Linked DNA regions of Coturnix japonica. The protein of the gene in region 2 interacts with the protein of the main gene of each other region in a pairwise test. Links are inferred from orthologs where the notes say so. Each region holds a gene or a part of one and is shown on either strand. Other genes may lie near its edges. The genes, in order: PSMA3 and FBXO7.

Evidence for each region.
Region 1: the proteins of FBXO7 (region 2) and PSMA3 interact in binary tests that used the Homo sapiens proteins (3 or more experiments, as listed by UniProt). The two-hybrid records come from large-scale screens. The link is inferred for Coturnix japonica from reciprocal best matches to the Homo sapiens genes FBXO7 and PSMA3.

Annotation. Positions count from the first base shown.
Region 1 is NC_029520.1:50,254,702-50,269,687, forward strand, and holds PSMA3 (proteasome subunit alpha type-3), read right to left. Parts: upstream 9,687-14,986; 5' UTR 9,573-9,686; coding exon 9,552-9,572; intron 9,332-9,551; coding exon 9,249-9,331; intron 8,034-9,248; coding exon 7,910-8,033; intron 7,827-7,909; coding exon 7,725-7,826; intron 7,598-7,724; coding exon 7,524-7,597; intron 7,020-7,523; coding exon 6,947-7,019; intron 6,430-6,946; coding exon 6,364-6,429; intron 6,363-6,363; exon of another isoform or gene 5,882-6,362; intron 4,552-5,881; coding exon 4,505-4,551; intron 3,277-4,504; coding exon 3,209-3,276; intron 3,077-3,208; coding exon 3,012-3,076; intron 2,526-3,011; coding exon 2,481-2,525; 3' UTR 2,347-2,480; downstream 1-2,346. Other genes in the region: ACTR10 (actin-related protein 10), read right to left, coding at 10,896-11,077, 11,922-12,123, 12,736-12,817, 12,999-13,072, 13,165-13,244, 14,520-14,555, 14,913-14,986. UniProt on the Homo sapiens protein: Component of the 20S core proteasome complex involved in the proteolytic degradation of most intracellular proteins. This complex plays numerous essential roles within the cell by associating with different regulatory particles.
Region 2 is NC_029516.1:48,674,503-48,690,568, forward strand, and holds FBXO7 (F-box only protein 7), read right to left. Parts: upstream 14,776-16,066; 5' UTR 14,575-14,775; coding exon 14,453-14,574; intron 13,221-14,452; coding exon 12,923-13,220; intron 11,601-12,922; coding exon 11,373-11,600; intron 10,136-11,372; coding exon 9,994-10,135; intron 9,121-9,993; coding exon 9,037-9,120; intron 7,917-9,036; coding exon 7,824-7,916; intron 5,758-7,823; coding exon 5,581-5,757; intron 4,947-5,580; coding exon 4,909-4,946; intron 4,699-4,908; coding exon 4,300-4,698; 3' UTR 3,197-4,299; downstream 1-3,196. UniProt on the Homo sapiens protein: Substrate recognition component of a SCF (SKP1-CUL1-F-box protein) E3 ubiquitin-protein ligase complex which mediates the ubiquitination and subsequent proteasomal degradation of target proteins and plays a role in several biological processes such as cell cycle, cell proliferation, or maintenance of chromosome stability.

The DNA.
Region 1 (14,986 bases), on a different chromosome or scaffold from region 2:
CAAAATAGCTGTCAATCCTTAGGTAAAGGTAACTTCCTTACTGCACTGAACTTGAAAAACTGGTGTGTGCAGTAGAAACCAGTCATCCTCTTAGAGGTGTGCAACAGATGGAGGAGGAGGGGGAAAGAACAGTCTCTTTGCAGTGTTTTTGGTGGTGTTATGCACTCAAAACCCTATTTTTATCTTCAGTCCTGAAATTGAGCACTCCAGGGTTATGATTATCATTCAACAATGTATCTTAAACAGTTCACTGTTTTCTGTACCCTTCTATGGTTACCAGTTAAATCCTAAGGGAGATCACTGCCATATTAAGTTATATCCAAGCCCCTTCCTTAGAAGTGACCAGGGCTGCAGAGTCAAATAGCATCTCACGTGTTATTGTACCCATGTGAGCAGTGGAACTTGCAGGGAAGGGGGGCTTTTAGCCTTAGGCCATCATGCTGTTTTTGCTTATGCAAAGTGATGAATGACCTGATGCCTGGCATAGCTCAGATCTGCTTGGAATTAATTGAAGTGCTTCCTTTCTGAGTCAGCACCAACTTCAGCTGAGCAGTATTTATTGTGGAGCTCTCCTTATGTTTATCTGTCCTACCAGAAACCTTACACGTGGGTTACTCCTGTGATGTTCCAACAGCTCAATCTTAAAATTATTTATCAGTAGTAACATAACTTTGAATGAAGATGTTATCCAAAATCCTGTATAAAAAGTACAGTCCATGAGAAAGGATGACTTTAAGCTAAGAGATAAACAATCATATAGACCAGCTTTCTTCTGGTGTTGCATTAGAGCACGTACTTTGGGGTTCAAGCAATGGGATTTGCCTTTAATGCTGTGAAGTTGTGTTCCAGCGTGGCAAGTACTGCAGTTGTACATTCCAAGTGGGTATGTGACTTTCTGTTCTATTACGCTATTCCCATAAATGGCCAGAGCCCAGACTAAGTAGGTTACTTGTTAAGCCTGAAGCAAGAAATGCTGCCATGTTATGGGCTAATTATGCCTTTCTGGTATCTTCAAAACTAAAACCTCCCAGTACTCTTGGCAGGAATAATAAAAATGAATGTTAAGAATCACCTCTTGCTGAAATCAGATATTCAGAAACGTCCTGCCTTACTAAGGGCATGTTTGTTATCCTTGCAATATACTTTTCAGTTGAGTTTTGCATTTCATTGTTAAAAGCAACCATTTCCAGGCCAGGCATAGAAGCTCCCTTCTTCAGAGAAGGGGATCCAAGCCCTATTCCTGCAGGAAGGCATTGCTGGTCCAACTGAAGTCTCATTCTGGGAGCCTTTGGTTACCCGTTTCAGACTCCTGCTGTTAGGTCTGTTGAGTTTATTGCTTCCTATATCACTGAGCCTGCATCTGTCCTAGTCAGCTCTCAGTAGAAGCACTAATTTGGTTGCCCTACTCACTTGGCATGTTAAAAGGTTACTGTGGCTACTCTGCCTTGGGTAACAGCTCATCCAGGCCTTCCTCTCTGCAGAGGCATGCCCTGGATCTGAAGCTGCAAGAGGCTGATGGAAGCTTTCATGTCAGCTTTCAGCTAACCAGCCGTTGAGCTGAAGTCTGACTCCTAGATACATTTTAAGCCTGAAGGGTAAGGAAGTATCTATAATTACAGCTGCACTTGCCCTTTCCTCTTAACCCAGTAACATCACTTGTAAGACTGTTACATTTCCCGTACCAAGCCCTAAATAGCTGTGGAAAGATTATAAAGGTGTAGCTGCTTGTAAATACAGCTCTTCATTTTCATTTAGCAGTTTGTGAGCAAGGTTTCAGGTTTGGAATCAAGGAGTCATTTTGTCACATTAAAGCAAGTGAAAGATCAGTCCTCAGCAGGTGCTTTAGGCTGAGATCAGTTTACTGATTGGCTTTCACTGACTCAGAAGAGTTGAATAGGCAATAAGCTTCAGTAGTAAACTCACACTGAATGCAAGACAGAACTAAAGCCTGATTCAGGTGCAGTTGCTATATGGTTGCCTCTGGGGACAGCACTCAAGGAAGCTGCCTGATAGAGAGCTGTAGCAGTTTGACATCTGTGCTTAGCTGGAAAGGCAAGCATTCCATGTGGCTTGACTCTTAGCCCAGGCTTAAGCCTGAGACAGCAGAACTGTTAATTAAAGTGCTTTCCTGGAAGCTGGTTGTAGTTGGCAGCTGCACATATCACCTAAACTGATAACATGTCTTCCTAGGCCCAGCCTGATTCAAAAGTTCTGCTGTAGTAAGAAGCATCTACACCAGCATGATGACACCTTTCCATCTTAAGGCCTGTTTTGATGTACAGTTTAGAATACAAAGCATTCTGTATTCTAAATTGATCCTAACTTATTTTGAAATGAAATCTAACAGACAGTAAAATGGAAAATTTATTAGTGCAAGTTGGTCACTCAGTCTCCTCCAGCATGTACAAAGGAGCGTCCCATGGGTAATACATTATAAACAAACCTGTACTAAGTCAAACTTGTCTTGAAGTAACAATGTGTTACATATTTTCATCATCTGATTCATCCTCCTCTTTCAAAGATTCCTATTAAAAAAAAAAAAGAGTTTTGTTTTACTATTTTCTCTACATACACAAAGGCCGCTATTGAGCAGGCCTTGTTTCTACTGAAGAACTAAACTACTTAAGAACTTAAAACCTGGCACCACTACTGCTTTCAAAGCAAATGCTGGGGGAGCAGCTTTATCCAGCTGGTTAACTAAAATACCTGCTTTAAAGGTAACGCGACTTACTGCATTTCCCATCCACTTATGTAATGACTGAGGCATTAATAAAAGAAATGAGAGGTAGGGAAGCTTGATGCCATGCTTTTTAAATGTAAGAACTGTCTGTGGATTGCATGGAGGGAACTTCCCAATTCTCTCATCAGGAGACATCCTGGCTACAAGTGATTAATGTACCCATCCCTTTTCCAGTCATTATAGTGCTACAATCCTGCTCCTTACTTCATTCATTCTATTCCAGACTTGCCAAGAGCAACACTGAGATGACAGCAGTGATGTCAGACCTTACCTTGGCATATTTTTCTGCTTCTTCTCTTATGTCTTTGGGAACAATTTCATGTTTTCCATTGGTTACTGCAAACAAAAAAGAAGTACCTATTAGAATTCACACAGCACGGTGCGATAAGTAAAACACTGCTTCTGCATGTTCAATACAGAAAATGAGAAGCTTTCTCTACTGTTGACAGAAAGGTAGAAATGCATTACTTTCTCCAACCCAGCTGAGTTCCAACTCAAAAGCTTTATCCTTTACTTCATCATGAACGATGTAGATTCTGGAAAGAAAGGGAGAGGGTGGAGGTTAGAACAGATTTATTGACAGGCAAATTATAATTTCTTCCTTTCACACATCTCTTACTCTGTTGAAACACCATTTCCTACATGTAATAGAAGCTTCCCCTCCTGCTTTCTCTTCAACCTCTCCTTTGTGCTCATCCCATTTCAAGAGGAAAAGAGTCTATCAGGGCATATTGTGGAGTAAAGCATTACTAAAACAGTGTGTTGCATGATTACAGATAAGATGCAAGGTACCCACGTAGGTGAGATGCTGAGTAACCCAATACAGAACATCACCTTTACAATAAATGTTATTTAAGATTCCAGTACTGTAGAACCAAGGCTATGACATCATTGCCTGCTTCTGCTCAATCAGTCACAGTGTGGCAGGAGCTCCCTGCATTTCCCCTGTAAATCTTGTTTCATCTTATACTTGAAACTAAATCTAAACACAACTGCTAATACACAACCTGTACGTAGAGCTCTCCATCCCATCTGCTAAGCCTACAACAACTTACAGCCTTGTGCTTTGTTTGTGCAGTTTCAGAGTCGTTTTGAGGTCCTTGTTATGTTTCAGGAGCAGAGAGCCCACACATTCTTTCCTTTAGCAGCTAACATGATAGCCTCTGACACAGCCACATAAATAAACTCACATGCTGCAACACCATTGATGGAAACATTTATTACTTCTTTATAACCTCTAAGGAACAGCCATAAAAGGCTGGAAATTATTTCTGTAGCTGCATATTATTAGATTTGTGACAAGTGCAGAAGTATCCCTGTAAGCATTAAGTACTGGAAACAGCCGAAAGGATACTTGTATTTATTTGAAGAGACCATAGACTGGCTTGGGTTGGAAGGGACCTCAAGGACCTTGAAGCTCCAACCCCCACCACATGCAGGGCCACCAACCTCCACATTGATACCAGCCCAGGCTGCCCAGGGCCCCATCCAGCCTGGCCTTGAACACCTCCAGGGATGGACGGGGCATCCACAGCGTCTCTGGGCAGCTGTTCCAGCACCTCACCACTCTCACAGTAAAGAACTTCCCCCAGCCCATCTCACAAGACAGATCTTAATAGAACACCAGACTAGAATCAGCACCAGCACTCATCTACAAAAGTGAAACCTGGTACCTCATGTAAAGGGAACAGCTTCACTTTGAAACCATAACAAGCCCACAAGCACCTATTTTTGCTGAGCTGGAGAAACACTCTGCAGACTTACATTTTCGCAACCTCTTTTACAACGTCACGGCAAGTCATTTCCTTCATCTGCAGACAAAAAACATACAGCTTAGCAGAACATCCTGTTTTGCATTTGGCCAGCAAACGAGGGACTGTGATGTGCCTATTCTCCACAATGCATCTTTCACTCACTAAAACATACCTGATTATTGATTAGACCAGCATATTTTACACCGAGCTTAGGGTAGAGCTTATGAGATACATGTAGTTTTACCATCTCAGATTCTCAACCACTTTGCAAAGCCATCGTACAGAAGTTGGTTGAGAAGCTGCTGAAGGACAGCAGTTCTTTCTTCATGCTGAGTCTGACAGCACTTCCTGTGTGTGTGTAATGCACACACCCAAGTACACAGTGGGCCAAAGGAAAAGGAAACGGCCCTGCTTAGGTAGATGTGCTGTCACATTTGCATTCCAACAAGTTTCCTAAACAGAGACACTGTCCCAGCCCTTCCATTTGTGACTCAATCCGTAACGCAGTGCTGACTTCTATTTATAAATCTAATCTGCGTCACACACCTATGTGTATTTAAGCACATGGAGTCAATAGTGAAACAAGAAAACCCAAAGGTCTGTTACTGTCATGTGTGTTTACAAAACAAAGCTTTCATTTATCTTTTGTCATTATTCTTTTCCTGGCCCAATCTTCCCCAAATAGGAAATACTGTAATTGTAATTAACTCCTGTAATTAACTCCCCATTATGTCCATATAAAAAAAGTCATAAATATGATCTGAAAATAACATGAGAAGCACTGCAGATGAACAGATTCAAGCAGGCCCCATGTGACAGAAGATACCAAATGTTTGCATAAGATGCAACAGATGTGATCAATGCAGTGCACCCCACCTGCAGTATAAGCTGCGTGTGCAGATCTCACGTACTGCATCCCCTCCCACATGCAGCACCTGCATTGCAGTACCTGCCAGACAGGTTTCAAGGTTATGATGATATTCTCACCTCTTTCTTTCCATCTACAGTCATCTTTCACAGGACAGATCCGCAGCTAATAGGATCATAGAATCAGCATGGAATCATAGAACAGCCCAGGTTGCAAAGGCCCACAGTGCTCACCCAGCTCCAACCCCCTGCTGTGTGCAGGGTCACCAACCAGCAGCCCAGGCTGCCCAGAGCCACATCCAGCCTGGCCTTGAATGCCTGCAGGGATGGGGCATCCACAGCCTCCTTAGGAAACCTGTTCCAGTGCGTCACCACCCTCTGGGGGAAAAACTTCCCCCAGTATCCAACCTAAACCTCCCCTGTCTCAGTTTAAAACCACTCCCCTTCATCTTATCACTATCCACCCCACCAAAGCGTTTGCATTTGTCTTCTTCCCATTTATGTTTTGTCATTCAATCAGGAAATCAGCTGAACAAAATCAGCTCTGCCCTGGAACCTGTCCAGCCCACCGTTACCAAGAAGCATCAGCACACAAGACCGCACTTGCTTCATGCTGCTCTGACCACATCACACTGAAAGCATTCTGCAAACAAGCCATGACAGATCAGCACAGCTGTGCTGTATGGCACACCCCTGTTCTCATCTACTGAACTTCACAGGCCCTACCATGAAGTTCAAGGAATACAAACACTGCAGCTCTACAAAAACAATTAGGCTGGTAACCAAAGAAGTGTATGTTTATGCTTCTCCTTTTAAAACTGTGTGCTCACTATGGACTTCCCATTGCCCAGGGTCAAGATGCCAGAAACACTGCTCCTATAGAGGCTAAGACAACGTATTAGGAAATACTTCTGCTTCTCTTGTACTTTATGAATTTAAGGCATCTAAAAAGGCAGAAATAATCCATCCTGAAAGCAACACAATAAAAGTGAAACAACCTACCTGAAGCTTTTCAATCTCTGTTTTTGCAGCCTGCCTGGCTTTACCGATGGCACAGCCCCAATAACCCTAAACAACAAAGAAAAGTGTAAGGTTAATGAAATACTACATCCACCACATACCTAACGACTCCTTCACTCCTGTAACAAGGCAGATACACAGCAAATGTTGGCACTGTTCTCTCTCAGGTGAGGTTCACAAGTTATTGGGTTAAGCACTGCCACCCTTGACAGAGCAATGCTAAGTAGATCCTCTGGGCACACACACACCTGCTCTGTTTGTCGCATAGGATCTTTTACTATAATTAAAGTAGAATTAGAAAAGACCACCACCAAAGCCCACCTAGCAGCCTCTGCACCTCAGTGTTTTGTGAGCGGAGTTATCACTGCAGCACTCAACCCTGCGGCAATGGATGGGACTCCTCATTGCATACAGGTGGAATGAACTCCCACATTTCTGAGAGCTTTAAAAACAGGCTTTATGGAAGCGGTGCTGCTTCTAAGAACTGCACGCCACGTTACTGATGTCCAGATTAGAAACCTCTAAAAGAGCAACTTAAAAGTAACAGTATTTCTGAAAGACTCACGTATGAAACTCCTGACGGGTCGATCATGTACAGTTGTGCGCCGTCATCGTCATCATAGGACCCCAACATGAAACTGGGTGAGAAAAAGCAAAATCAAACAGTCATTCTGCCAACCCACATACAGCAATGACAGCTAAATCAAGTCAGGGCTCCCCACTACCCTATTACACTCTGTAAGCAGTTTGTCTGAAGGCTCAGTGTTATCGTGACCCCAAAGCACCTGCAATTGACCAGAAATGTTTTACTTAACTATAACTACAGACCTCAGTTTGTTAGTTCCCTGGTAACCACAGCTGCATGGTAGTTATTACCTATTCTTTAGGGGATGATCACAAAGTTCTGCTTTCAAAATGGACACAGATTCAACATCAACTCCTCAGCTTTAAGCCTGATGGACAGGCATGCAGGCCATACACAGCCTGGTTTGCTCTGATGCAATAAAACAAAGGACAGGGGAAACTCTTCCCACTTCTTGGTTTATCGGTACCAAATGTGAAAAATGAGCTAAGACATAAACAGCTCCAGCCCTTCTGAAGCAAAAGGCCTTTACAAACAAGCACATGTTGGAAAGACCTACCTGCAACCAAAAGGTCTGACAGCGCTGTACAGTGTGTATGCATGCACGTACATGGCCACTCTGTCTGCAAGATGCTAAGGGGGAAAAGAAAAGCGGAGGCCTTTATTTGCAGAAATAAGTAAATCACAATTATTGCTTATGGTTATCGCTGTCAAGGTTAAAAAAGCCAAAAGCTCTGAGTGAACCGCGCTCATTTCTTACCTTCAGTGGAATGTCGTAGCCATAGTTAGTCCTGAAGTTAGAAGCTTCTTCTCTAGCTATGTCTGCCAACGAACGAGCATCTGCAAGCAGCCCCGCTACTGCCTGGAAGGAGAATTGCCATCACTGCATCTCTTTAATATTATTCTGAGCCCCTTCAAATCCTGAGAGCTTAAGCAGCCGCTCACCATTCCAACGTGCCGATCGACGTTGAAGAGACGTTTATTGGAGCCTTCTTCGTACAGCTTGGACAGAACGAGCTTTTCTACACCAAAGACAACGCCATCTTTGCACCTTATCCCAATGGCTGTACTGAAAGACAAGACAACAGGGAGTTTCTCTTACACTGAATAGAACCGTGCAGACAAGTAACAAAGAACAGCCTCAAGTTACGCCAGGGCATAGGTTGGATATTAGGAAACACTTCATTACAGAAAGGGTAGTTAAGTACTGGAATAGGCTGCCCAGGGAGGGGGTTGAATTGCCATCCCTGGATGTGTTTAAGAGCCGTTTGGATGCGGTGCTCAGGGATATGATGTAGCAGAGGGTTGTTAGAGTTGGGGTACTATGGTTGGGCTGCAGTTGGACTTGATGATCTTCAAGGTCTTTTCCAACCTGGGTAATGGTATGATTCTACGAATTAATAAAATGCTGGAGTGGCTGACGTTGGAAGGGACCTGAAGGATCTCTGAGCTCCAGCCCCGTGTGGGCAGAGTTGCCAACCAGTGATCAAATGACACAGTGACACAGTTTCCACCCCAGCAGGTCTGCTCCAACTCATATAGTTTTTACTCTATTTGCAGCCTCCCAAATGGAGGGTGGGGGCATCGATGCTCAAAACCTCACTGTTACAATCAGTTCCATCTCCAGAACCAGAGGCTGCTTTGAAAGAGCAGGGATCTCAGCAGGGATAGGGAGGTGTTTGTCCCTCTCTACTCTGCTCTTGTGAGGCCCCATCTGTTGTACTGTGTCCAGGTGTGGAGCCCTCAGTACAAAAAAGATATGGAGATTTTGGAAAGGGTCCAGAGGAGGGACAGGAAGATGATCAGGGGGCTGGGAGCACCTCCCCTATGAGGACAGGCTGAGGGAGTTGGGTTTGTTCAGCCTGGAGAAGAGAAGGTTGCAGGGTGACCTCATTGCAGCCTTTCAATACCTGAAGGGAACTTACACCCAGGAGGAGAGTAAACTCTTCGACAGGGCTGATAATAGCAGGACATGAGGAAATGGTTTTAAGTTAAAAGAGGGAAGATTTAGGTTGGATGTTAGGGGGAAGTTCTTCACTAGGAGAGTGGTTAGGCCCTGGAACAGGCTGCCCAGGGAGGTTGTGGATGCCCCGTCCTTGGAGGTGTTCAAGGCCAGGTTGGACGGGGCCCTGGGCAACCTGATCTAGTAAAGGTGTATGTTTGGTGGCCCTGCCAGGCAGGGGGTTGGAACTACATGATCCTTGAGGTCCCTTCCAACCCGGCTCATTCTGTGATTCTGTGAAGGAGGCCCCTCCACAAAGAGGTGGATCCAGCCGTATCCTACCTGCTGTTCTCCACAGCCTTCATCGCGTATTCCACTTGGAACACTCTGCCATCGGGAGAGAAGGTGGATGCCGACAGGTCGTACTGGAGAATAGAATAGAAAGGATCGCTCAGCAACCAACAACCCACGGCACAGCCCGGACAACGCGGCCCCGCAGCTCCACAGGGCCTCGGCCTAACGGGCCGCGGTGACTCAGCAGCGGCCACGATCCCGCTCAGCCCCGGCCGATGGGAACTTTGGGGCCGCCACCTCCAGGCCCCATTTACCCTTCTCGCCCCCCGCCCGCCCGCGGCCCGCGCTCACCCCGGTGCCGATGGAGCTCATGGCGGCGCCGCCTCACTCGGACACAGCCCCCCCTGCCGCCCCGGCCTCGATGCCGCTCCCGACCCCTCAGCAACCCGCGGTCCCATTGGCCTCCATGCAGCCCAACCAGCGCTCGGCGGAGGAGGGGTTTCAGCGGGCGGAGCGTTTGGTAACGCGAAGCGCTCGGCGTGTGCTGAAGAGATGAATTGGGAGGGTGCTCCACAGCGCCCGGCTAGCTCAGTCGGTAGAGCATGAGACTCTTAATCTCAGGGTCGTGGGTTCGAGCCCCACGTTGGGCGGCAGGTTAATTTTGCTCCTATAATAGAAGGGCTCTTTTATGGGGCATCCTGCAGCCTCCAGGACATGCTTTTATTCCAGGATACAGCAGCCAGTTCCAACTCCCAAACACCCGCCAGCACCACCAGAAATAAGCCACCTGTGTTAACTGCACCAGATTTCCCTTAATAACCAGTGGGGCTCCTCCCTGCAGCAATACTGAACTGCCAAGAGATGCACAGGAGCACAAAGGGCGACCATTGGCTTCCAACACCCTGCCAGCTCCCACACGGTGCTCATAGCAAAGCATCCATCTTCCCTAAGCAACGCATTGTTGCTTGTAAGTAATGTATTTTCATTTAATACACAGCGCTGCACAATGAAGTTTAATAATTCTGATGGGCAAAGAAGCGACTTCTGAGTGTGGCATTTCAGTGAGGTCCAAGAATTCCTTGTGTGCCCATTTATAATTCTTTAAACAGCTCAATTCTTTCCTGCTGGGGAGGCAGTGGGATGGTGTCAGCTCAGCATTGCAGGGTATCACACATAGCACAGTTCTTTGCTGAAACACTGAAGCCAATACTCACTGCTCAGAGGAAACACCATCCCTGCAGCTTTGCTAAGCAGCACAAGCCATTTTATAGCAGCTCCAATGCAGGATCCCATGTAAAGCATTGCATTCCACTCTTCAATCTGGCAGCAAAGCTTCCAGCTGCTTCCCAAAGCAGACAGTCCTCCGGTCTTCTCAGAGTACTTAAAGTATCTTGAAACAAAGCACCTTCACAGCACCGATAACAAAACACTGTCAGCTGCAAGTCGTGACTACAGACCAATCCTGCACCAGGTGACAAAGCAGCACAGGAGTCCACAGAATCCATTTCTAAACAATACATGAACACAGCCCCACATACAGCATCAGTAACCACCACCGTGCTCCCCAGAACATCCACACTGCTCACGTTTAATGGTGTTACACACATAACTTCATACAAAAAAATCCTGCTCATATATATATATGCATATGTACTTGAAACAGATGAGGAGAGCCCTTGTGTAGCATTTAAGTGCTTATTTCTCAGTTGAAAAAGCCCTTTTCATCAGCGGTGGGGGTGCTTTCCCAACATCAAACATCATCTCCAGAGGAGGATTACTCAGACAGCACCAGTCAGGGATGCGCCCCATCTGGCTGTAATATTCTCTGGACACAGAGCGGCTTCCGAGTATGTCCTGAAGTGCTCCAAAAATGGCTCCTGTTATTGACAAAAAAATATAGTTTTACATTAAAAAGGAACAAAAGGATGGAGGTACTTTCATTTTTAGCAGCCCTTTTTGACCCAAATTGCTCCCATTTCTACTCTATGAAAGTAACTAAAAATAAATCACACAAAGTCAGGGACTGGAAGGGACCACAACGGTCATCCAAGCCCAATCCCCTGCCCGTGCAGGAACACCTGGATCAGGTCACACAGGAACACAGCCAGATGGGTTGTGAATGTCTCCACAGAAGGAGACCCCACACCCTCACATGAAGAGGTTTCCTCACATTTACATGGAACCTCCTGTGTCCCAGCTTGCATCCCTTGTCCTGCTGCTGAATGTCACTGAGATGTGCCTGGCTCCATCCTCCTGTCACACACCCTTTACAAACTATAATGGCATTGCCCCTCTGTCTCCTCCAAGCCAAAGCGGCCCAGCTCCCTCAGCCTCTCCTTATAGTGGAGATGCTCCACTCCCTTCATCACCTTATATTTCTCCTATGTGACCAGCCCCTCTTTCCATGAACTGTAGACCCTCCCCTTTCACTTCAGCTTGCCCAGCAGCTCCCTGCTTAACCATGCAGGTCTCCTGGTTCCCTTTCTCTACTTCCTACCTGCTGGGATGCTCTGATCTTGAGCTTGGAAGAAGCAGTCCTTCAATGCTAACCAACTATCTTGGGCCCCTTTACCTTCAAGTACCCTGTCCCATGGGATTTCCCCTAGCAATTGCTTACATAGGCCAAAATTGGCCTTACTGAAGCCCAGGGTTGTGATTCTGCCCCTCAGCCTTCACCACTTCAACCAGACTCTTAATAGTAAGATCCAGCTGCACTCTTACCTCCCAGCCACGCCACGTAGTTGGGTTTGGCAGGTGGAGTGTGAACTTTGAAGGTTTTAGTCGCAAGGACTTCTTTGTATTTCGGTTTTTCCACCAGGTACCTGATCTCAGCCATGAGTCTGTGCAGGAATCCTGGTAACATGGCAGTGCCACCCATAACCACTAAGTTCTCTGCCAGCTGCTTCCTGGTGTCTATGGGACACTAACAACAAGGGGAATAGAAAACACAATACTTCAATGCAACTTGCACACAGACGCTTTCAAAGGTCTTAGAAATTCAATCAGTCCTTCTATGCACTTCAACTACTTGTGTCAGCAAAAAAGGAGAAAACATCTACAACTACAGACTCCATCAGAAGACCAGGCTGAAGGAACTGCCCAGTCAAGGCTGAGCACACTGTGAGTCACTGTAAATCCCTGTAGCTGAGTCTGGCCAACACAAAAGATGGTGGGATATCAATGCTGTGAATTCCCACCGGTTCCAGGAGAAGAAACACCAAACATTTTGCCAGCAATGAAAATGCCCCAACTCCATTCATCTTAAGCCTTTCACTGAGGAGGGAGCACTGCACTGCTTCTTTGCTTGGCTGAAAACTGGCCCAAACAGCAGCACACCAAAGAACAAAAGCAACCATAAAGGGAATGACACACAGTGACTTGCTACCCCACAGTGATTCACCAGAGGCCACAGCCTGAGGAGTCACCTTGTGCTGACTGCAACCTGTAGTCAGGGGGATGACACTGCAGGAGCCATTTATAAGAGCAGATTCTGAGGGTAGTGGTGTGCAAATTCTTGTTTCTATTATGAAGATACCTGAATGAGAGAATCCAAGATCAAAGTGGCAACAGATGTCTCTTCATTATCCTGTTCAAACAGTATTTCTGCAACTGAGTCTCTGTTGAAAAGACAGGAGTGTTAGTGAGAAGCAGCGCTACCCTACAGCAGGGCTAAAACAACCACAAACTCCTTGCTGACAGCACAATGTCACAGCTGCTTCTGCCACACAGTGTGTACAGCAGGAGGTGCCAAAGCCTCACTAATGCCAAAAGCAAACACTGCACTACAGTACTTCTCACCGAATGGAGCCAACTACATGGAGAATCTTTTCACCATCTAAAGGATAGTCCACATCTGGAGGTGGTGAAGGACGCTAGAAAGAAAGAAAGAAGTGCTTTATTTTCAAGAACAGAATGGTTACATCCACTTCAGAAAAGACCAGAGGAATTCTCATTCACTGCTCACCTCAGCACTGCCATCAATGTTGAACTTGGCTGCCTGGATCTTCAGTCCACGTTGGAGGTCACTCACAAAACAAGTTCGAACTTCATAAAACAAGAATAAAGGGACAGAAGAGAACTCATTGGATCAACAGTACAGACAATTTAACTTACAGAACACATTCTAGGTCCTGCCAGTAGGAAAAAAAACTAAGCTTCTATACCTCAGCTGAGCTCAGATGTATCCAGGTCCTACACTGAAATGAAGCTGACACTATAACTAGGCAAGATTTAGGCAAGATTTCCTTCTCAAAATAGCCAAGTACAATGTAAAGACAGAGACATTATTCATTGTGCCTTTGGTTATTGTGGGGTCCAACACACCACAACAGGTCTTGCACCACAGCTCTCAACAAGACACTGATCCTTCTTAAACAATCACAGGTAATATTGTTCCTATATATATAATGAGATTCTCATTCATAAACAGTTGTCACAAAGAAATATTCCTTCAATATAGAGCTGATCCTAATTTCAACCCCAACATTTCACATCTGATTCTAAGAGGTCTCAGAACCAATCAGAAAACTGACTTCCAAGTCCAGGCATTAGAAAAGCAACTTCTATTTGAGAAAGCACCAGTTGCATTTAAGTTACTTTGCACTGGACCGATTGACTTCTTCCTAGATTGGTCCAGAAGACATATATCACATCCATACACTAATATGGGCTATTTTCTACAACTAAATTAACTGATACAAAAACATTTATATAAAGTTCTGCCCAAACATATTCCCTACATTTTTCTGGTGTAAATGAACTCTGGCTCAGCTTGATCACCTGATTAACATAGAGATATATTTCATACAGAATTCATTTCTATTGCAAAGTCGATCTTAATTCAAACTGAACATCCCTGGTTAACTGTTAAACAGTTAGTTTAAAGTAACTTTATGTCACAATGCTGATAGCAGCATGTTTCTAAGATAACAACTTTTTGAGAGGCTGATCTGTTAGCTTTGTGCCCAACATGCAGTATTTACTCCACACGCTCATATACAACAAAATGGATGTTAAATAAAAAATGCAGTAGCAATTTAACCTAACCTGCTGATGGCAGATGTGTGTGACAGCCTAATGCTCCTATTGCATTAGTCTGCCTAAATATGAACCATTTATGGGCAGCACAAAGACCTAAATGAGAATTGAATGACAGTTGGTGTTTGCTTTCAGAAGGGAAAAAACACTGCAAGTGCTTCTGGTAGGCACAAAATACAAGAAATCTAATATAATAAATTAAATTCCCAAACAGTTGTGAAGGCTTCCTATTGTACTCTCCTCTACTATGCAGAGTAATGAACTAATGGCATGAAGTTTTACCTTTTATATCCTCTACGATGTCTTCTGGAACGGAGCCTGCAACAGCAACAACAGAAAAATCACTGAGAACAAAAGCTTGGGAAGCAGAATTTAATAATCAAACTAATGCTGAATTCCAACTGGTTTCGCTTTGCAGGTTTACAGATATTTCTCAGCTGATTCCACTTTAAAAGCTGCAAAGCTACTTCTCAGTTGAAGAAGTTTGTTTTCACTCAAAAGACAATGAAAACTTGTTACAGAACATTCATCTGGGCTGTCATTCTAACCTTGTTATGAGTGGCTGATTATAGGAGTAATATACTTTAATATGGAGAAAGAAATAAGGAGAGAAGACTACATCAGATGTGATGAATGCACTACTACTTTTACTATGCTGCAGCAAACAGCCCTTACCCATTACTGATGGAAGGCTTTGTCCTTTGGCTAATCCTGTATCAACTGTGCACTGCTCCAACAGCCGATATTCC
Region 2 (16,066 bases):
AACAACTTCTTTCCTTGCCCCTGGGAAACACTGTAGAGTTCAAATCCATAATCCATACAAATCCAAGCACTTTGGTGGCTTGATTACATCTGCCTATGTCTGTCCCCTGGGAACTTATTTAATTACTAGCAGAGCTGATGAAGTGCACATAGTTGGGTGCTGAGTGTTCCATAATACAGATTGGACGGAGAGATGGAGTGAAATCCTGTCTCACTCCTTGAACTCCCATTGACTGGGGTGAGTGCAAAACTAACCAAGGTGACAGACCTGTGATGGAACAGGAAAACTGTCATCTAGAAATAAGATGAACTGGGGTCCATCCAGAGACACCAAGCAATGGGAAGGCATGTACTTGACCACCCCAAGCAGGTAATGACCTTCTGGAGAAGACAGACATGGATCTTTGCTGGCTGTGCTTTTCTTAAGCAAGTAATATAGAATGAAGCTGTAGACAAACACACATGCTGCAACTAGGACATGGCAACAACAGGAATGACACAAACCATGTTTGTAAGAGAAAAAAACCAGTGTGTAAATCAATCTCACTATGGCTACTTCTACCAGCTGAGAGCCCACCCAATACACCTGATGAAAGCACCAGCCTCCATCCCATCACCTGACATATGCGAAGCAGGGCTCCAGGAGGAAGCCTCTTGCATTTTTGTGTCCAGTATTTGCACCACAAATCCATATGCACAGCTGCAAGGCCAGACTTCTACCTTTATGTTTCCCTTTGCAACTTCGTATCAGTTACACTTAGGAATACCAGTGGTGGAAAGGAGATCAGTAAGTCAGTTACAAACATTTGAGCCAGCGGTGCAGATCTTAGCAGTCACTTAAAAAGAGGTCCCCAGGTCAGAAAAACCAACAGCAGTATCTGCCATCTTGGATCTCATGATTCACGGGTGGGAATGAAGCCAGATGAGCAATTCCTTCATGCACAGCACCTGTAATGAGCATCTAGATCCAATGCAGTCATCCGGACCTAACATGACCAACCCGAACATACCTCTACAAATATAATTGCTTTTGTGACCTGTACACTTTCAGGCAAGTAACTGCATGGCTTTTCCAGCTTGGAAGGCTCTCGAGAGACTCATCTGGACCAATGATTTATATCTCAAGTTCAGAATTAAAGAACCACTCAATTCCCTCCTGATTTATCCTTTTTCTTTTTTTTCTTTTTTTTTTTTTCCCAGCTCTGTTTTGTCCTTCCAGGTTTGCTAAGCAGCTTACAATGTAGCATCATAAACACATGTCATTGCCTGAGAAAGAAAACAGACCCTGCTGTTTCTCAGTCTCCAGGAGCAATAAAAGAGTGACAAATGACTCCGAGCACTGTTCCACTGGCAAGAACAATAGCAGATTAACCAGCTCCACTGTATGGAGAAGAGGTAATACAGCTCTGGTGGAAGAGCATTCCCTTCCATAACACTTCCCTCAGCATGGCTCATGCCTTGCCCTACTAAGTGGTCACCAGAAACGCAAACATAGCAGTTTACTGACAGAATCCTCAATTGTTCTACCCTTCACATCTTTGTGAATCTCTTACCAACACACCCTACACACACACACACAAAATAAATAAATAAATAAATAGACAGGGAACTACTGACTGGTAAGATATGGCTCCTTCAGTTGACTTCAGTTAATCACTGGTATCACAGCAGTTGGATCATTTGCTGATGCTGCCCTTGAAACACAGCAGGACCGTCCTCCAGCTGACTACTGCAACAGGACAGCACTGCTGACCTGACAGCCAGCAGCGACTCATCTGCCTGAATGAATTTACATTCTGCTGTTTAGACCCAGACTGAAAAAACATCTTGTCTTTCTTGTAATATCTAGGTGTGGTATTTCAAGAGGAATGTAACTCGTGTTCTCATGCAATTAAACATCTTGTATAAAGCTAAGGCTCAGAATAGCACTCCTGCTCCAATGACTGCAGCTGTACTTCCTTTTCTTTCACTTATCACAGATGGGTATGTAAGACCTTACACCCTGCATATAACTAGGTTATTCAATACGGTCTTCTTAAGTTCCATGAATAAGGTAAAGCAAATTAAAAAGGGGTAAGTGCAATAACAGTTCCCAATTTCCAAGCAGCTGTTAGCAGCAGTGCATGCGAATGAACAGTACAGGTAAGGAATGATGGCCACCCTCAAGCATTTCATCTTCGTGTCTCTTCTGTAGTTTGCAAGCAGCAATGACACGTACGCCTGCCTCAGAAGCTGGTAAATAACCAAGTGGCTGGTTTTCAAGTATTTCCTTTGTTCTGCCATGTCATTTTATACTGCTGGTCCTGACATATTCACACTGTATTTCATATACTGTCCTATGAATTAAGGAAATTCCTCTGTAGGAAATCAACGGTTTGGGATAAGGCAGATTCCTTTATCTCTGGCTCACAATGCCTTCCCCTACAGTGCAAAAGAAAGGGAAGGAACACCTTCAGGTCACTCATCGGTGTATCTGTAATGATGCCCAATTTGTTCTTAAACGTCCCAGTGACAAAATCCATGATAAACAGAATCCATTAAAGTTGTGTGACTTTGCCTGAGTATTATGGATGCATTTCTGAAGGACACATCACAAGGGCAAAATGGTGCAAGACACACACAGTGCAGACTTCCATTTTCCCTTGAAGAATCACTGTTAGCTCCACAATGCCTGACTATACACTTAAATGAAAATTCCATTGGAACAAGGCAATTCAACCACACTAGGAAAAAGTTAAGGCTCATTCTGATATTGAACCACTGCCCTCAGGCTCTATTGATACTTATGTGTGATCAATCATGGCAGGATTTGCACTGGTTTGCTGCTGCTCTGAAGTGGAAAAAGAGAGAGAAACAAGAAATACAACTTTTGAGAGCAAAAATCAAACAAACAAAAAAGTATTATTTTACTCCCCCAGAGTTAATAGAACTTCCTGACCCAACCAAAGTCAGCTGATGTGTAAAACAAAAAGATGACTCACTGAAACATCACCTGAAAAAGCACAGAAGTATTACTGATGAAACAGCTTGTATTTAGTAGGAAACGTAATTCACTGCCATTGTTTGAATTCCAAAAGGATTGTAGAAAGCAATATCAGCTGTCACAACAGTCATCGGTACCATTTACGTTTTCAGAAACACCGAGATCAAACCATCTTAAAAAGAAGGAAAATAAGAAATGAAAAGTTCTAGCAAAGTTTAGTTATTCCAGTCTTTCTTTAATTGAGCTTCAGTATGACACTGCAGATCTCATCAGGAAACTGTAACAGCGATGTTGTTAGTTGTTCATTAGTTAACGAGACAACACTTGAAAAGCTCTAACATGCCACAGCATGTTTTCTTCCGTCGAGATAACTTTTGATACTGCTCTAGTGCAATTGAACAGAATTTACTGAAGTATGAACTGGTTCTGTTTCTCCTGCTGTGATGCCACATCCACTGCAATCGGGTCAACCTGTTTAATTCCTTAAATAGTTAGGCAGGCAGAAAAACTTATTTTTGCATCCATTTTAGTTCACACACAGTAAACGCGGCCATGTACTATAGCTACTTATTTGTAAAGTCAACCTGTTCAAACAAGGAAAAAGTAAAAATGTTTTGCTGCTGGTTCTTTGTAAAATTGCTCTGCTTCTGTTCAGGCTTTGAGTTGCCCTGCAGCATGGGTTCACTCAGCTGTTTGCAAAATGAACTGATTTGCTTTCTAATTTCTTCCACTTAAAACAAAAAGTCCCTTCCTTGTATTCTTTGTGTATTAAGTAACGACATAAAAATGCTTTTTACCTAACAGAAAAAGGAAAACGTCTCTGAAAAATAATCTATGAAAACACATCTACCATAGCAGTGGTAGGATCCCATTCTACGTGGGATGTGGCAGAGTTTTTGTTAAGAAAAATCATTAGCCAGGTAGATTTGAAACGAAATATTTTTTTTTCCTGGCAAATTAAAAAAACTCTTCAAATAAGACAGAAAAAGATACTCTTTATCTGATGAAGCAAATACTTAGCCAGTATCCTTCTAGTCTCTAAGTAGCACTCCACAGGTGATTGAAGAAGAGAGGTGGGAGGGAAACAACATGTACTGTTCTAAGTCACAGCCCATCTTGAAAAAGACCTTAGTGCCAGGTACTGCACTATTACCAGAACACAAACAAACCCTAACTCTGGGGTCAAAACATTACCATGCAAACAAGTTCTTGCAACAATCTGAGGAGAAGGCAGATGTTAGTGCCTGGCTTTACAAGGTCCTGCAGTTAGAAAGCAAGCTCAGGAACTAGAAAATCCACTGAGGGAGAAAGCAGCAATCAAATGAACGCACGGCGAACGTCCGTGGGGCGGCCCCGGCTGGGTCTAGGTGGAAACCTGTCATTGGGACCAGCTCGTCCTGGAAGTGTAGGGTTTGCTCCAGGCAAGGAACCAATGGGGTCAAAATGTGGTCTGAATGGAGGAAACTGGCATGGTGCTTCTCCTGGGCCAGGAATGAGTGAATTAATTGGGTCTCCAATATACAGAAGCGTTGGTCTCTCAACATATTCTCCAATGACCATGGGGGGATAGATTGGGTTTGATGGGAATGGGTTGGGAGGAAAGGGACTAGGATAAAATGGGTTGGGATGAAAGGGAATTGGATGAGGTGTAGGGGGCAGAAACATGTGCCTCCATCTCAAGGCCTCCTTCTTCTGTTTCAACTTTTTCTTGTATAGCTGCAGACAGAAACAAAGGTATTTTAAGGTTCACCAAGTCTCTTGTTGATGTTCATCTTCCCCTACTCCAACCAAACTCAACTCGTGTTTACAGAACACTTTTAAATTAAAATTTAACTCAAAACTACAGCTTCCCAAAGTCTCTGTGTTTGCCCTGAATTTCTCCCATGTAGACTAATCTCAGTGAGATTATATAGAGAAGCCACCTACTTCTTTCCAGTCAGTGTCACGAGGCCTTGCAATGGGATCTACAAGAGAAGCACAGAATCAAAATGAGCAACCTCTTTTAAGTAGCATTTATGCCAAGGATTTGTGGGAACATGCAGGAGATGAAAAAAACATCTCTGGTCAATACATAATGTGTTTAAAAAAAATATAAAGCTGTAGGACCATTCAGTATATAATCTACTCATATTCTATATAAAATACCATCTCCGAAACTCCTAGGAAATCCCAGGAATATTATTCCCATCTTTGATTTATAATAGCACTTCCCTTTACCACCTTTTTCTTCAGTCTCTTGTGAGGAATTCTAGCAGGAATATCCCTTCTCTTCACTCTCAGATAGCTGCAATAACAAGTGTATCTAAGTAGCAAGAGAAACAGATGAAAACAACCAAAGTTCTACCACATGATGGGCAGAACTATATGGTCCATGAGAAATGGCTCAGATAACTATTACTATTTTTCATGACAGAAAACAGAATACCCACCTGAATTACATCTAGTCCACTGTACTGGTCACTATCACTAATGACTCTATTTGATGCCACTATTTAAAAATCAAGACTGCTTACCTGAGCAACCTCTTATCAAAACGTAAGACCTAATTACCCCTGTTCACACGAGAATGAAATTGAAGAAAATGTGTATCACCGTTACCTCTGAAATCTCGCAGATACATAAACCTCCACAGAAGCTGATCATTTGAAGCTGCATAAAGATCACGGCAAACAGCAGACAGAGAGATGAGGGAACGGACATCCAGAAGTCTAAAAATCCGAAGCTTCAGCTCAAGAGGAAGGACCACTAACCCAAAGACATCTGGCAAGTTCAGAGCTACGAAGTGGAGGACACAGAAGAATTAACTAAATGGTGCAAAGCTGATGACCCTGAAGAAAAGAAAGACATCATAACCTTTCCCTTAGATCATTCCCTTTTGATGCCTCAGTTAAACAACGGGTCTCCAAAAGCACCAGGACACGGTTTCTTAGAATACTGATCTCTTCCACCTTGCAGTATGTTTATGAGTTCATGAAATAGGCCAAATGGTACTTTACACTGAACACCAGTGACTGCTGTTAACCTAAGAAACATGCCGCATGCTTATGTGTGCAGGCTACAGAACAAAGGCCAAAGGAAAAAGGTCTGCCTGATTACAAGAGTCCATAAAAAAAACATATCAAATGCACAGCATATGTTTCACATAAAACTTGCCCGCACTGAAGTCTACGGATTCCACTGTGTCTTCAGAATACTAAGCTGAACTCTTTTACAGCAGTATCTATACACAGAAAGCCTGATTTCCTACTGCTGATAGGTCTTAGAAAAGTCTAGTAAAGAGACACAATCAATATCTGGTTGCAATTTTACACGTTCCATGTGAAAATTCACAGGTAACGTATTTGTGTCAACTGAAAACAGGAGAATGGCAAACATGAAAAAATTTGATGAATCTCAGACTCCTTTATCAAAACAGAAAACTGCAAATATGTCATTGTTCACAGGACAGTTTAGCACCAAAATGCTTATAATCATTTGCCATAACTTCAATTAGCACTGCACCGTGCCCCCTGTGTCTTGGTTTCAGCTTAGTGTCAAGCACACCCTGATGTTTGGCTGTTACTGAGAGATGAGTGCATGCCCACGGCTGGGCCGGGCCGCAAACATAACAGGAAGAGCCTGCCATGATGATGTAGAGTAGGGGGTGGCTGCAGTATGAGCTATGCCAGGCTGCATGCAGCATGTGGGTTGGACATGCCTGCAGTTCTACTGTTGAACTTTCTGTTGAACCGGTTCTACTGGCTGAGCTTTCCCACCAATATGCTGTTACATGCTGTTGCTTTCCAACAGATGGCAGCAGAGGGGCGGTCTGACAAAATGGTGTCTGACACAGAAGTGTGGATGAAGCAAAAGTCTGGTACTGAGTTCTTCCATGCAGAAAAAAAATTGCACCCACTGACATTTATCAACATTTGCCGAATGTTTATGGAGACAAAATATTAGGTGTGAGTACAGTGAGGCAACAGCTGTGATGTGAAAGAAGAGCCATGTTCTGCATGGCCACACACAGCTGTCACATAATGAAACGAAGAGTGTCTTTATCAGCTCATCCATGTGAATCAGTGGATTACTTCCAGGGACCAATGTACAGAGCTGAGTGTCACCTTCAAGAAGTTAGAAAAGATGGTGGCAACACTAGAATATTGAGACGTTTGTGTCAGGTGGGCCCCACCAAGGCTCACATAGGAACAGAAAAAAACAATTTATACAAGTCTGTGAGGACCCATTGCAACAATACCACACTGACAGTGACAGCCTCCTGTTCCATTCTCAATCATGAGATGTGGTGTCAGCACTATGAGACAGAGTCAAAACAGCAGTACACAGAGCAGTGATACATGAATTTCACATTAAAAAAAAGTTCAAGGTGCAGCCCTCAGTGGGCAAAGTGAGGAAAGGGATGATCCTCCTGGATTTCCTAAGACATGGACAAACCATCAATGCTGACTGCTACATCACAATGCTAACTAAGCTGAAGGCTCCAACTTGCAGAGTCAGGACAGCAAAGACAACCACTCTTTTGCATCATGGTTATGTCAGGCCCCATACCAGTTTAAAGACAGTGGAGTACATTGCCTGTCTTGGCTGCACTGTCCTACCACACCCATCATACAGTTTGGATTTGGTGCCCTCTGACTTTTGATGGGAAATTATCATTATATTGACTTCTTTTAAAATACAAAGATTAATCTAATTTCTTTAGAGTGTCCATTTTTTTCTTACTCTCCACATACCCACCACTGAGCAGCTGTCTGAACTGTTTCTAACACTTCTCCCTCAAGACTCTGCATACACTCCCTCCCTTTCTTCCATCTGCAAAAATTAAGTATCATCTCTCTCACCTTGTCGGGCAGCAGCCAGAAGAGAATAAACCAGCTGGTCTTTAAAGAGACGAGATAATTTCTGAAGGTCTTTGTAAACACCCGCAACCTTTTCTATCAAATCAGAGAGATAAAAAGCTTAATTTCAAGAGGTTATAATGCAATGATTATGCAAGAGCAGAAAAACCATGGCTTTCTTATAAACAAAACCGTGATCTGTTTGTCATCTTGGTGGGCCCAGGTCTGCAGCTAGTGTGTGTATGTGGATAGTGTGTATGGAATAGCAATTTTTTGAGAAACTCCAGCCTACTTCCATGGTAAGGCTAGGCTACCCAATGGCTTTAAAAAGCACCATTATGAGAAATACATGAGTTCTCCAAAAACCAACTGGCTCTCAAGCTGTCAGACCTTCTTTGATCAGATTTCAAAGCTCAGATGGCACACACCTATGCTGTAAATGTCTGTTACATTCATTTTTCAGATAAGAGTGCTTTTCCATTCTGTTATCCTAGGAAAGAGGAGCCAGAAGACTCTACCATTATCTTGGACACGTCAGTGCTCAGTTATTCCTCTAGAGCCTTTTGACTAGCTTCTTACATCAGTGACTGGAGATCTGAGAGACACAGTGTAGGACACCAAGTCATCCTCAACTGGCAACAAAGAGGTTCATTAATGCCTTGTAAAACAAAAGGCTAGTCAGTCTTCTGCTGACAAAGGATCCACATCCATCTGTCCTTCTCCTCCCCCACCTTAGTACTTCTCTGATTTTGTCATTCTGGAGAGAGTTATGTGGTTGGCATCTATTTTATAACACAGATAACAGTTACGTTGTCACAGTAAGAGTGTAGGTATCACCAGCCTCTAAAGTCCTGAGCCAGCAGGGAGAAAAAAAGAGGGTCTAATCCAGCATTGCTGCCTCAGAAATTTACACTGACATTTAGAACCTCAGAAATAACAGGCATTTGGGACAAAGCATGAGTCAGTCTTTGCAAAATCCTTTCTTTATTCAGTTAATCAAAGAAATTTGAATTACTTTAGCAGCAAAATACAAGTAAATGGCTATACTCTGAATTCCTTTTACCATAAAGCAATAACCCATCTAAACAGTGGTTGTATTTTTATTCTTTCTTGCTATTTTTTTCCTATTTAGTCCTCCACTTACTATTCCTACCCACTATTGCATCACTTGCCTACTTCCTAGTTGACTGTTATCAGTATTATAGCTCACGCATACCTGGTTCCTGAAAGCAAACAAAGGATGCTGGCAGCAGCTGTATTCTCTTCACACCTTTAATCTCTTTGTTGATTTTTAATGTTGCTGCAAACATAAGAAGAAGAAAAAAAAAATGATATTCCAAAATTGAAAACATACTGAGAGACAGCCAAGACCACTTCATCACTGCCTTACTCTCAGAGGTGCTTTACTATTCTCCCTTACCAGCTCCTGTCAAGGAAAATACCAATGACAGCCAGCAGTTAGATACACAGAAATTTCAGAAAAAATAAAAACTGAACTCCTAATAGCAAAGGATAACCAAATATATGTCTACAAATATTAATCAAAGAAACCTTGAAATTAGAATGGAATTCCAATTTAATATCTGTTCCATAATAAGGAATTGCTCAAATGCTAAATCAAACATTAAAGAGCAACTAAAAAGCAACAAACCAATCAAAAGCTACCAAGAGATATGGAAGTTGCCTCAAAATAAACAGACTTCTCTTAATTTTCTGAGTTAAACAGCTTTTTGAGACCACAGTGAGAATGCTCATGTGTTTCAGTCAGGACAAAAAAGAACACACACTAGAACAAAGAAATATGTAGTCTAGAAATGGCTTAAGTCTTGCAAAGAGTGTGAGACTAAATAAAATGGATTAAATCTCTCTCTTTTTAGTATTTACTCAGGTATAACACAGTTCCCATGAAACGAGATAAAACCCATACTTTTACAACACTGTAATGAAAAAGCTAACTGACTTCCCCAAACATTATTCCATTCTCATTAGAGAGAAGGAAAAAGCTGATACTGAGGCAAGAAATGCCAAGAATTTCCAGCATCAGGAAGTGGCATCTGCCTTATCAACCTGGATAATGACATTGTGATTCCAAAGAAGCTTATGCAAGTCTTCTCTTGCTAAGCAATCGTGATATTTAGCAACCTATATCCAGGATAAAACTTTACTAATTTACCATTAATAGCAACAAGATCTCCCAAAGGCACACAAGTCAAACCAGCAGAACCCTCTTCGCAAAGGGGATGCGTGTACTGTAGCTTGTAAACACCATTCCCTCTCCATTTCTCTGGCATAGACACTGCCTTGGCTTCTGTCCCCTGAAAATACACAGAAAATACCGTCATATCTTCAAATGGAAAAAGAGGACTAGAAACTTGAAAATGCCAGAACTGTGTTTGAATTCAAATCTTTAGTTTAGTCCCAATCTGCATTATGATACAGACTATAACTGCATGAGCACATACTTTTTTCCTCAATACTAACAGCAAATCTAAGGGAAGTTTAGCAATTTCTGTCTTGCGCCAGTTTCTGGGGAGGTTATTCAGCGTGTAGACTTATAGTCACTGTGTAAGTCTATACTTCACTCTGCCATTCACTCCAGCATTCTGAAAACTCCTGAATATATGATAATTTTCTGCATTTAAAATGTCTTATTGCACCTTTTCTGTGATCTCTGACAGGACTTGAAGGTCATAGCTTGAAAATCTCAGTGGATTAACTGTTTTCCTTTCAATTTCAGTATGAGAATTATCAGATGTTATCTCACAGAGAGATGCAACATAACCACGAGGACAAGCAGGGTCTCTCTTTCTTTCCTCTTAAACTTGCACAAAAATCACATTCCTTCTTTTCAAATCCACAAATCGACATTAATAAATTCTGCTCCCTATGGGAATGTGTTCATTGGATAGTACTTCAGCCTATGGGAGTGCTGTTTAATAATGTTAACTGGTGTTGGCCAAACAGAATTAAACTAATTTCATATGGTTTTAGCACCACAAGGAAAACAGGACACTAGTCACATAATAGTAAACACCTAATGCAAGTTACATGAAAACGGAAAAGATGAGCTCACTGGACAGAGACAAAACTGTAGGTGCTCTAGACATTAGTGATTCTAAAGCCTAACTGAACCCTGCTGAAGATGATGTAAGTTAATACTTAGGCAGCCCTAGACCTTATTAGCCACCATTTGAACTGTACCCTATTGAGATGACACTTACGTTGAGGAAAGCACTACAACAAAGTGCCACAATCCAAGCACATCTACACAAGCTTAACAGTAAAAAGCAGAAATGTCAGGTTATCAGGTGAGTTCCAGGTGAGGACTGAGAGGAACATGGAGGCAAGCCTCTCCTTTTACCCCGAAAATCTGCTCTAGAGTTTAGCCTTAAGATATACTCGCCAGTCAAGTTAGAGATGCTGACACTTCAGCAGACTGGGCTGCTTACAGTATACACACAGCCTGATCCAGACCTCTAGAAGCATCTTGCATTACAGGTTCTTGTAATATTCTACAGCTTACTTGCACTGACCAAGACATTGTGTACTTACCTGAGGTACATAGCCTGTCTCCATCATGAGAAGATGTAGTAGGACAATCAAGGCATCAGTGGCACTGGTACACTCAGCAGAAAGGTAGAGCACCTCTAAGGAATGCGGAATCTCTCCATCAGTAGCCTCACTGCACAGCATGGGTTCGGAAGGATAGGAACCTGTACCTTCTTCTAAATCAACATCTCCTGGGACTAATCCAGAAGGAAATTCTAGGCTGGATCCTGCCTTCAAGAGATAACAAGAGATACATGCAGAAAATTATACCATCACAATTGCTTGTCTGTCTGGCAGTCTTCATGGGCACCAAGTCAACACTACAGATGTTCCATGTAACTTCTACCGACTCAATTCATCTCTGTTTTCTAGCATCCCAGTTGGAGACTGGGATTATATACACAGCCTCTGTATTTTTTCAATACTTGTAATGCAAGTCTTTCATTTAAAAAGTCTGTCATTTTCTTGCAAATTGATAATAAATTATTAAACATTTGTCAGAATTCTTGCAACACTTAAAGGAACAATTATTGTGGTACTTCAACGTGCATAGCAAGAAACCAACATGATTAACTCAGACTCCTTAGAAATGCAATAGGCTTAAATAGCTAAAATAATCATTAACAGAAAGCATTTGCTGACATTTCAAGAAGACTGTGGCTTTATTGTCATTTCCTTTCTTGCATGGGCTTGCATGCCCACAGCACCAATGTACTAATGCTGCTTTGCTCCTGGCAAGAATCAATGGGACAACGGTCCAACTACATTCTCCTTCACTACTCAGAATTCTTTGGATCCTAAATCTTAATTCCTGTACTTTGAAACAATACCTTATACATATGTTTGGCAATATTTCTCATATGAAGGTCGGAGCGAGTGATATTTTGTATTTGACAATTAATCCAAAATCAAAGAACAAATAAACATCTTCTCAAGCTCCTGTCTAGGAAGGGACAAAATCAAATAATGAGACAGGCACCAAGCAGCACGGCACCTAGGGGTCTCTTCTAGAAAAACCACTTTCACCACACAACTAGCAGCTGGCAGATGCAGTTGTCTGCTTAACTGTTCTATCTACAGTCACAAACAAATCACTGCAAAACATGCATAAGACATGTCTATTAACTGGAAACAGGTTTGTGGCTTCATACAAATGTACACTTCTGAAGCACAATGCTACCTTAGCACTGTTAAACTTCATGCACAAGATAGACAGATCTCTCATTCCAAGCAGGCCATCTGAATCCTAGAAAACTGCTATAACCACGAGAATGGAATCACACATGCTCAACGTGAGAGTGATATTTCAGTATTTGCTGCATTTGTGTGGTACCTCAAGTAATTTTTTTCAAGGTAGCACTGAGGCACTAGAACTTGGAACCAGGACATAACAAGTAATGATGGAGACAGCTTTCCATCCAAATAACTGGTTACATTATCAGACAGTCAGAACTAGTCAAATATTCTGAAGCAATTCTTTGATATGCAGGGCATCACCTGATGTAAGATACCTCATTTTTTGTCTTTTGTCAAGTCAATTCTCACGTGCTTACCCTACTGTCACTTTTCTGAGCTTCCGCTTGAGATTTCTGGTTGTCAGACTCTTCATTCTGCCTTTCTTCTTTTGGACTGTCAGCCTGACTTTTGGGAGTTAAGGTGGATATCTCATGACCATTCTGAAGTGAGGGAGGATTAGAAGATGAGGGAGGAGGTAGGCTGGATTTGGCATCTGTTTCTTCTAGTAATAAACATAACAAATCACCAGGAACTATCCCATATGAAACTAAAGTCTTCTCATCTTCTGTAAGAGCATCCTTCCCATTCAACGTTATTGAAAACTCTGTATCAGAACTGTAAAATAACAGAATAAGGAAATATGGTTAGCTGCATTTGAGTAGCTGTACACAGAGGTATAGTTAGAAAAGCATACTATGTTCTACAAATGTTATTCCTTTGGGTTCTAATCTATCAGTAAGGTTCAACAAGGGCAAGCACAGAGTCCTACACCTGGGAAGGAATAACTGCATGCACTGGAACAGGTGAGGGGTGACCTACTGAAAAAGATCTCTGCAGCAGAAGGAACTGGGTGCCCTGGTGGGCAACAGGTTGGCCATGAGCCAGCAGTGTGCCCTTGTGGCCCAAAGGCCAACAGCATCCTAGGTGCATTGCAAAGAGCATGGCCAGCAAGTCAAAGGAGGTCATCCTCCCTCTCTTCTTTGCCCTGCTGGAGTACTGTGTTCTGGGCAGCCCAGTTCAAGAAAGCCAGGGAACTTCTAAGAGAGCCCAGCAGAGTGCCACTGAGAAGATGGAAAGCATGGAGCATTCCCATATGAGGAAAGGCTGAGAGCCTTGGGATTGTTCCACCTGGAGAAGTCTTGAGGGGGAAATCTTATCAATGCTGATAAGAGTCAAATGGATGGGGCCAAGCTCCTTTCAGTGGTGGCCTGCATCAGAACAAGGGGCAACAGACACGAACCGGAACATAGGAAATTCCACGTGAACATGAAGAAAAACTTCTTTACTGTGAGTGTGACAGAGCAGTGGAACAAGCTGCCCAGAAAGGTTGCGGAGTATCTCCTTCTCTGGAGATACTCAAAACCCACCCAATTGCTTTCCTGTATATGCTACTGTAGGGAACCTGCTTTAGCAGGGCATTGGATTAGATGATCTCCAGAAGTCCCCACCACACCGTACAGAATGTCAAGCCCTACAATTCTGTCATTCAGTAACACTCAGCAATACACTACAGCAAAAGTGAGGAAATAATTACAGTTTGAAGTTTCCCCCCCGATTCGCTCTCCAGGTACACTGGAGCAAAACTTTTTCTAAGTTTTTATTAAGTTTCACCTCACAACCGTTCGCACTGCGCTCCCGTGCGACAGAGGACGCCTCTCCCAACCCGTGGCCAGGCCCCGCACAGCTCCCACGGACCTCTCCCCACAGGGGGCGGCAGCGCCACGTCTCGGCCAGGGGTGGGTTAGGGAAGAGAAACGGGCCGGGCCGCCCCGACCCCACCCCGCGTGGTTCGGCCCCGCTCCCGGCCGCCCCCCCGCCGCCGCGGGATGGTTCGCTCCGCGCGCTACCTGTAGCCCCAGGCTGGAAGCAGGGCCCGGCGGAGCTGCGCGCGCAACTCCCCCAGCGTTGGCTCCGCCCCCTCCAGCTCCAGCGGCGCCGTTCGTTTCTGCAGCCGCACGCGAAGCTTCATGGCGGCGGGGCCGGCGGGGCCGCGCTTCCGCCCGCTTGACGTTCCGAGCGGGCCCCCGCCGGCTAACGATGGTGGCGGGCAGCGGGCGCAAGGGCTGCCGGGGCGTGGCGGTGTTTGGGTTGGCGCGGCGCCGCCTCTGCCCCCGGCCGGCTCCGCCTCCGGCCGGCCCCGCCCCCGCTGCCCGAGGAGCGGTTGCTCGGTGTGCCAAGATGGCCGCCGCCCGTGGTGCGGCGCGAGCGGGTCGCTGCTGCGCATGCGCACGGGTGGCGCGCCGTGGCGGGGAGGTATGAGGCGGGAAGGTGGCTGTGAGCGCCGTGGCAGCTAAGTGCAGTGAGGGCACTGCGAGCGCTGTGCCTGTCAGGAACCGCTCTCCTGAGTCTTGGAGAAGGTTGGCTGGAGTGTTTTGTATCTCTTCAGCATTGTGACCATTTCTGCAGTTTCCAGTAATCAAGTATCAAACTGAGCTCAGGCTGGGCAAGGCACTCTACAAAAAAAGTATTGAAATCGTAGAATCGTAAAATGGTTTAGGTCAGAAGAGACCTCAAAGATTGTTGATTTCCCACCCCTTTCTATGCACAGGGCTGCCACTCCCCAGCTGAGGCTGCTTAGGTCCCCATCCAACCCAGCTTTGAATGCCTCCAGTCATGGGGCACCCACAGACCTTTGGGCAGCGCTGCCTACTGAGTAAAGAATTGTTTCCTAACATCTAACCTTAATCTTCCTTTATACTAGTGTTGTATAGCTAATACCTTTATCGAGGCTCTGCTTCACATCTCAGGTTGGCTGCTGGCCCTTATGCAGCATCCTACGTTTCTTTTTGTGGCTTTTAACTGCTCTACTCCTGATGAAAATATGTGCTCCATATGGAGCATAATTCTATAATATCCATACTCCATATGGAGTATAATTTCTATTGCTTTCCTTCATCATTCTTGACCAAACATCAATGTAGTCCTCTACTGGAGGCTGTAAAAAAAAAAATGACAGAGGTGTCTGAATCGGAAATGTCCTTCAGAACATCCTTCAGGACCAATTGGCTGCTATACTGTCTTTGTTCCAATGCTGTCAGCTATGATGTGAGAACCTCAGATTGGAGAGGAACCTGAATCACAGAATATATGATCTTAGATATCTTAGGCAATCTTGTCCTATATAAGAGTTTATAAGTTTATCAAGGAAATCTTAAGGTCCTTGTAGATCAAACTACGTCTCACAAGCACCTTAACACTTTTGTTCTTTATATAATCCTTTTCACTATTGAACTACGTGCTATATATATCACTATTGAGCTACATGCAGAGCAAAATTCTTTGAAGTGACACCTCAGAAACAGAGTTTGGTATCTCTGCATTAGCAGCACCTTTGCAACTCTTAGCTGTGAGGCCAGCATGCACTGTGAGAGCACTGACTTGTTAAATGAACTTTGTTAAAAGTGAATCAAGTAGTCCAGGTTCAGGTACTAGGACAGGACAGTTATAGAGGTCAGAAATGC